Anolis sagrei: one gene and its partner. The protein of the gene in region 2 purifies or fractionates together with the protein of the main gene of each other region. This does not show direct contact. Links are inferred from orthologs where the notes say so. Each region holds a gene or a part of one and is shown on either strand. Other genes may lie near its edges. The genes, in order: CCNB1 and PKMYT1.

The links.
Region 1: the proteins of PKMYT1 (region 2) and CCNB1 purify together in Homo sapiens (affinity purification with mass spectrometry; 5 studies listed by BioGRID and IntAct, with this or other methods). This does not show direct contact. The link is inferred for Anolis sagrei from reciprocal best matches to the Homo sapiens genes PKMYT1 and CCNB1.

What each region holds. Positions count from the first base shown.
Region 1 is NC_090022.1:266,459,174-266,463,096, forward strand, and holds the start of CCNB1 (G2/mitotic-specific cyclin-B1), read right to left. Parts: upstream 2,901-3,923; 5' UTR 2,702-2,900; coding exon 2,681-2,701; intron 230-2,680; coding exon 74-229; intron 1-73. UniProt on the Homo sapiens protein: Essential for the control of the cell cycle at the G2/M (mitosis) transition.
Region 2 is NC_090026.1:23,688,220-23,692,142, reverse strand, and holds the start of PKMYT1 (membrane-associated tyrosine- and threonine-specific cdc2-inhibitory kinase), read left to right. Parts: upstream 1-1,080; 5' UTR 1,081-1,326; intron 1,327-3,923. UniProt on the Homo sapiens protein: Acts as a negative regulator of entry into mitosis (G2 to M transition) by phosphorylation of the CDK1 kinase specifically when CDK1 is complexed to cyclins. Mediates phosphorylation of CDK1 predominantly on 'Thr-14'. Also involved in Golgi fragmentation.

The DNA of each region.
Region 1 (3,923 bases), on a different chromosome or scaffold from region 2:
TCAGTGCAACAACTCTGTTGTTTTGAAAACCATGGCTTTTGCTGGATGACGGACAAGAAGAGATGATTTTTACCTTTTTGGCAGCATCCCTGGGCTTTGCTTCGCAGGCCTTGTTGCCAATGTCTCCCAAGGCAGTCCTAGACCTCAAGGTGGGCTTGGCAATCCCGATCACCTGCTTGGTGGCTGCCATTCCGGGCTTGGTTTTGTTCTCCAGGTTGACTTTCGTGTTCTGTAAGAAAGAGAGGAACATTTAGGTCATATAGGTAACACAAGTTTTACAGAAGGGTTTGCCTAACATGAGGATAACAACAGAGACAGAGGAGGAAAGGAGTGAGCTTTAAAATTCCTGCTATGTACGCAACTTGGGGTAAATAAAGATTAAGGATTTTAATTGCTCTGGAAGATGGAGAGTGCATCCACACTGCAGTTTGACACCACTTTGGCTGCTCAATCCTATGAAAACATGTGAGCTTAGTGTTCCAAGGTATTCAGCTATCTTTACCGAAGAGGAATGGTGCCTCTCCAAATGACAGGTCACAGGATTCCAAAGCATTGAGCCATAGCAGTTAAAGTGGGATCAAACTGCATAATTCTGTAGTGTAGATGCAGCATTTGTAAGACTACAGCCAACGCCCTTCTCACCTCCTTCCCTCATCCATTAGTCCTGTATCTCCTCTACAGAGTTTTTGCTGTTCTGTGCCTCCAAGTCCTTTCTGAGTTATGATGGAGCTCTCTTAAAGGAGCGGTTATCTTTGTTCTCTGAGGCTGAGAGAGTGATCTGCTCAATGACACCTAAGTGGAGGTGCAAACTCTGTTCTCCAGAATCCTAGCTGCACCTTCAAAACATGATACCACACTGGGCTGCTGTGTGTTTGAGCTCTCTTAAAGGGGCAGCTGTCTTTGTTTTCTTCCGAGGCTGAGAGAGTGTGATCTGCTCAAGGTCACCTAAGTGCAGGTACAAACTCCGCTCACCAGAATCCTAGTTCCACCTTCAAAACATGATACCACACTGGATTGCTGTGAGTTTTCCAGGCTGTTGGCTATGTTACAGAAGCATTCTCTCCTGACATTTCACCTACATCTATGGCAGACATACTTAGAGGTTATGAGGCCTGTTGGAAACTAAGCAAATTACTTTTTTTTTCTTTAGAGACGAGTCTGGGAAACTGGGTAGAGGTTGAAAGACTGGGGAGTTCATGCACAACATACCCAATTATAAGTGATAGGTAAGGCACAAGAGATTTTTTTTTGGCAGAAAGCAGGGTGTTTTTATTTAATATACATATTTTATAGTAATGTATATATTCAATTTATTGAATTGTGTAATTAATGCAATAGATGCAATGTATTGTTTGTATTTTATGCAGGTGCTTTAACTGTGTTGTGCTCCACATTTATAAGGAATGCAATTTATTATGATTTCATTGCAATGTCTATAAAGCAGTAGCAGTGTGAGCAAGAATTATATACTTTCTAGTCCAGGCCTGGGCCAACTTGGGCCTTCCTCCAGGTGTTTTGGACTCCAAATCCCACCATTCCTAACAGCCTCAGGCCCTTTCCTTTTCCCCCTCAGCCGCTTAACCGGCTGAGGGGGAAAAGGAAGGGGCCTGAAGCTGTTAGGAATGGTGGGATTTGGAGTCCAAAACACCTAGAGGAAGGCCCAAGTGTACCCAGGCCTATTCTAGTCTATGCCAAGTAGGGTTCCTATTTGGTGAAGCACTACCCCTTTAAGAAGGAAAATGTACACAAGCCTAGGATATTACAAACACCTGGCACCTGGGGAGCAGGATTTAGAAAGATTAGTCAATGAGAAGCGGGTAAGATATGGAAATTTGAGTATGTAAGTGCTTAAAAATCCTACCATAGGAATTCACTAAGCTTTGTGCTTAGCACCACGCGACTGAGAAATAAAGCTCTTTGTTCCTTCCTTTTTTTGGCTTAAAGAGAGGTAATATAAACATATTTGAAAGAGGGCACGCCTCATGCTACGTCCACACTTTGAATACAGTTTGATACCGCTTTAACTGTCATGGCTGAAAGTTAAAGCTGAGAAATAGGAAAGACTTCCTTCCCAAAACTTTTTGGATTAAGAGAAACTGTTGGGTGATATAAACATATCTGAAAGATATGCTGTGTCCACACTTTGGAATGAATGCATTTTGATACCGATTTAACGGTCATGGCTGAAAATTAAAGCTGAGAAATAGGAAATACTTCCTTCTCAAACCTTTTTGGCTTAAGAGAGACTGTTGGGTGATAGAAACATATCTGAAAGATATGCTGCATCCACACTTTGGAATGAATGCAGTTTGATACCGCTTTAACTGCTACGGCATCCTTGAAATTGTAGTTTTGCAAGCTCTCTCTAGCCCTCTTAACCAAAGAGGGCTACTGCCTGCCCAAATTAAAACTCCCATGATGCCATACCATTGAGCCAGTTAAAGCGGTATCAAACTGCATTAATTCTACCATGTAGAAACAGCCTAAGTTCACTAAGTTTTCTCAGGAGTTAAAACCTATATACAACGTTGGAGAAAGTAGTTAAGAGCGAGCCAGGCGACTATAAATAAATATAAATATGGTTATAGCAGTAACTCATAATACAATTGCAGCCCAAACAAGGAGAGATGGCGAGGCACCCTTTCCCCCGTTAACTCTGCGTGTAGGTCGCTCTTCCTACCCGAGTGACCCGCAACGCCATGGCTCCGGCTTTCGCTTCCTGCAGCACTAGCTTCTCACAACCGCCCGCCGGCCTTCCTGCCTCCGTTTGATGCACGAGTGTCCGATGGCTCTCACCGCCAGTTTAAAATTCGCTCCGGCTGCTCTCATTGGCTGCCTGGCCGGATTCGATCGCTCCCGATTGGCTACCCTTGAATGCGTTTCTACGGCTACGGCAGGCCCTTTTTTCCCCCTCACACTCTTTTTGCTAGCGTTCAAAAAAAGGGAAGCGATTGGCTGTCGTCGGGTCACGTGACATCTCGCGCCCCACCCCCAGATTAGAAACTCAGCTGGAGCAGAGAAGGCTGTTGAGATAATGAGGGGAAGGTGGGCCTAATCCTCAATTGAAGCAAGGCCGTATTTACACTAGTGTAGGATTAATCCAGTGACTTTTTGCAGCCATGAATCAATGCAATACAATAGTTATCAATCTGTGGGTCCCCAGATGTTTTATTATTTATGTATTTATTTATTTATAACATTTATATGCTGCCCTTCTGAATCCAAAGCGGACTCAGCGGCGTACAAATTATATGTACATACAAGATATTATATTGTTAGCATAGCACAATATTAGTATTATATATTACTATATTGTACTATACCACTATACTGTAATATTGGTGATAGTACAATAGCTGGGACCCAATGCTGCTAGCGTTATGATGTTTCCAGAATGTTGCTTTGAGTACAGACATTGCAGAACTCAGGTGCGGGTTCGCAAGTTTGAATTTGGGGAGTGGTGTGAGCTCCGGCTGTTAGCCCCAGCTTCTGCCAACCTAGCAGTTCGAAAACATGCATGCTAGGTTGGCAGAAGTTGAGGCTAACAGCGGGAACTCACACCACTCCCCAAATTCAGACTGCCAACCTTTCAGTCAGCAGCTCAGCAGTTTAACCCGCTGCACCACCAGCTTGTATACAAGGATTATAAAGGGAAAGGCTATAATAAATCCTTTGTTTCCTTCTCACACATAAGGGTAGAAAAGTAGTGAAGAGTACAGACATCACACTGGCGACTTTCTCACACATAAATGTTACCTTTGTCTCCCCAAAAAATAAAAAAGTGGAAAGAGAAATCAGTTTTAATTCTCATAAGAAAGGTACCTCCTTGCCCTATAATTTTAAGGGCTGTATGAGAAGCAGAAATTCAACAGGTTAAATGTATTATCTCAAAACAGTTAAACTCTTAAAGCGATGTTGAATTT
Region 2 (3,923 bases):
CTCACGGGCCATTGAGTCCAACCCCCCGCTAAGAAGGAAAATTACATTCAAAGCACCCCCGACAGATGGCCATCCAGCCTCTGTTTAAAAGCCTCCAAAGAAGAAGCCTCCGGGGCAGAGAGTTCCACTGCTGAACAACTTTCACAGGAAGTTCTTCCTAATGTTCAGATGGAATCTCCTTTCTAGTAGTTTGAAGCCATTGTTCCACGTCCAAGTCTCCAGGGCAGTTGAAAACAAGCTTGCTCCCTCCTCCTTGTGACTTCCTCTCACATATTTATACATGGCTATCATGTCTCTTCTCAGCCGTCTCTTCTTCGGGCTAAAAAGGCTGAGCTCTTTTAGCCGCTCCTCATGGGGCTTGTTCTCCAGACCCTTGATCATTTTTGGCCACATTCCAGCTTGTCAATACCTCTCTTCAATTGTGGTGTGGTTGTACATTGTACAACGAAATGAAATGCTTTCCCCAGCATTCATGACAAAAACTACACACTCCAAACATTGAGCCCTGGCAGTTAAAGTGGTGCCAAACTGTGTTAATTCTAGTCTAGCTGCATTTTGTCACTGACACAAGTTTGTCATTAAGTTAAGACTAAGAATGGGCAAACTTGAGCCCTTCAGATGTTTTGGATTTCAACTCCCACCATTCCTAACAGCCTCAGGCCCCTTCCTTTTCCCCCTCAGCCGCTTAAGCGGCTGAGGGGGAAAAGGAAGGGGCCTGAGGCTGTTAGGAGCGGCTGAGGGGGAAAAGGAAGGGGCCTGAGGCTGTTAGGAGCGGCTGAGGGGGAAAAGGAAGGGGCCTGAGGCTGTTAGGAATGGTGGGAGTTGAAATCCAAAACATCTGAAGGGCACAAGTTTGCCTATGCCTGAGTTAGACACCGTAAGACACAGCCAAGACGTGTCTCTTTCCTTCCTGTCAATCACCTCCTTTGGTGGCTCCTGATTGGCTAAAAGAGAGAGAGAGAAAAAAAATGGCGGGGGAGGGGGGGAAAAGAGGAAAGGGGGCGGGGCTTGTGCCTTCCCGCGCTCTTAACCCCCCCCCATCCTTTCCCTCGCTTCTGAGTGCGCGCGCACTGCTGCTGCTGCTGCCGCGGTGACGTAGGCGAGGCGGAAGTGGGCGAGCCCGTTTGGAATTTTGGCGCGAGCGCGGAGCGTTGGCCCCCAACGTTCTGAGGAAGGGGAGTGGGAGGGGTCGCCCTTGGCGCGAGGAGAGGAGAAGGAGAAGGAGAAGAGAAGAGAAGGCGGCTGCATCCGGGTATTTGTGTGTGTGTGTCTGGCGAGAGAGAAATATTCCCTCAACACTTCAGAGGAAATTGGAGAGGCCAAGAGGCAAGGCGTTCCCTGCCTCCCAAATATGGGGGGATGTCTTAAATTGGGGAGAATTGAGAGGGGAAGGAAGGGAAAGGGGGGCTTGACAGATATCCTTTATTGTTAATGGTAATGCTGTATATTGGTGGAAGCATGGCTCTTTTCTCCCTCCCTTTGAGAATTAAGGTTGCCAGAATGTTGTGTTATTATGATGTTAGTGATGGAAATATAGTCTTTTTCTCCCTTCCTGTGTGAATTGAGGCTCCTAGGTGTCACTAAAATTATTATTATTGTGTGCTGGAGGAAATATTATCCTGTTTTCCCTCCCTCTCAGTTAAAGTTGCCAGATGACATTATTATTATTATTATTTGAAACACAACAAGATCAGTCCACAGCAGACAAGATCACTCTGCTGGCTGCTGTATTGGATCGCACGTCAGACACTTCCCAAGTGTATTATTATTATTTTATTATTATTATTATTATTTGAAACACAACAAGATGAGTCCACAGCAGACACTGTGCTGACTGTTGTATTGGATCACATGTCAGACACTTCCCAAGATGATGATGATGATGATGATTATTATTATTATCATTATTATTATTTGAAACACAACAAGATGAGTCCACAGCAGACACTGTGCTGACTGTTGTATTGGATCACACGTCAGACACTTTATTATTATTATTATTATTATTATTATTATTTGAAACACAACAAGATGAGTCCACAGCAGACACTGTGCTGACTATTGTATTGGCTCACACGTTGGACACTTCCCAAGTATATTATTATTATTATTATTATTATTATTATTATTATTACTATTATTATTTGAAACACAACAAGATGACTCCGCAGCAGACAAGATCACTCTGCTGGCTGTTGTATTGGATCACATGTCGGACACTTCCCAAGTGTCTAGGACTGTGTAATGTATCGGCGAATAATAATAATAATAATAATAATAATAATAATAATAATTTTACTGACACAAAAGCACAGTATGTCACAGCAAACGAGATCTATATGCTGGATTTTGTGTCACAAAATCACAAGTTGAAGACTTCCCAAGCATCCAGGACTGTGTGATGTATTTTCAAATTATGTGTATTATTATTATTGTTATTATTATTATTATTATTATTATTATTATTATTATTATTATTATTTGAAACACAACAAGATGACTCCGCAGCAGACAAGATCACTCTGCTGGCTGTTGTATTGGATCACACTTCAGACACTTCCCAAGTGTCTACGACTGTGTGATGTGTCGGCGAATAATAATAATAATAATAATAATAATAATAATAATAATAATTTTACTGACACAAAACCACAGTATGTCACAGCAAATGAGATCTATATGCTGGATTTTGTATCACAAAATCACAAGTTGAACCCTTCCCAAGCGTCTAGGGCTGTGTGATGTATTTTCGAATGAGGCATGCAGATCCAACTAAGGTGGCCTTTTGCAGTTGACAGATTGTGATTTTGTCAATATTTGTTGTTTCCAAATGCTGGCTGAGATCTTTTGGCACGGCACCCAGTGCGCCAATGACCACTGGGACCACCTGTACTGGTTTATGCCAGAGCCTTTGCAGTTTGATTTTGAGGTCCTGATAACGGCTGAGTTTTTCTTGTTGCTTTTCCTTAATGCGACTGTCACCTGGTATGGCGACATCAATAATCCAAACTCTTTTCTTTTCCACAGTTGTGATGTCTGGTGTATTGTGTTCCAAAGCTTTGTCAGTCTGGATTCGAAAGTCCCACAGTATTTTTGCGTGTTCATTTTCCACCACCTTTGCGGGTTTATGATCCCACCAATTCTTTACTGCTGGCAGGTGGTACTTGTGACATAAGTTCTAGTGAATCATTTGGGCCACAGAGTTGTGCCTTTGTTTGTAGTCCATCTTTGTGATTTTCTTGCAACAGCTGAGGAGATGACCATGGTTTCATCAGCTTCCTTGCACAGTCTGTATTTTGGGTCATCAGCTGATTTTTCAATCCTGGCCTTAATTGCATTTGTTCTGATGGCTTGCTCCTGGGCTACAAAAATCAGGCCTTCTGTCTCCTTCTTCATAACCATAACCAGGTATTCTCCTTATCAACTTTTCCTTCAATTTTGTCAAGGAACTGCCCATGCAATGCTTTGTTGTGTCAGCTGTCAGCTCTGGTTTGGAGTGCAGTTTTCTTGTACTGGTTCATTGTCTGCTGTGCTTTTAATATATATATATATATATATATATATATATATATATATTATTACTATCATCATCATCATTAGGTACGTAACAATATTAGTACGCCGCAAACAAGATCACTATGCTGGTTCTTCTATTGGATCATATGTCGGATACTTCCCAAATGGCTAGGACTGCTTGATGTATTGGCGAATGTTGCGTGCAGATCGGAGTCAGGTGGCCATTTGCAGCTGACAGATGGTCGTTTGTCAGCGCCGATTGTTTTTAAGTGCAGGACAAAGTCTTTAGGCACTGCACCCAGTGTGCCAATCACCACTGGGACCACCTTAACTGGCTTGTGCCAGAGTCTTTGCAGTTCGATCTTTAAATCCTCATATCGTGTCAGCTTTTCCAGTTGTTTCTCTTC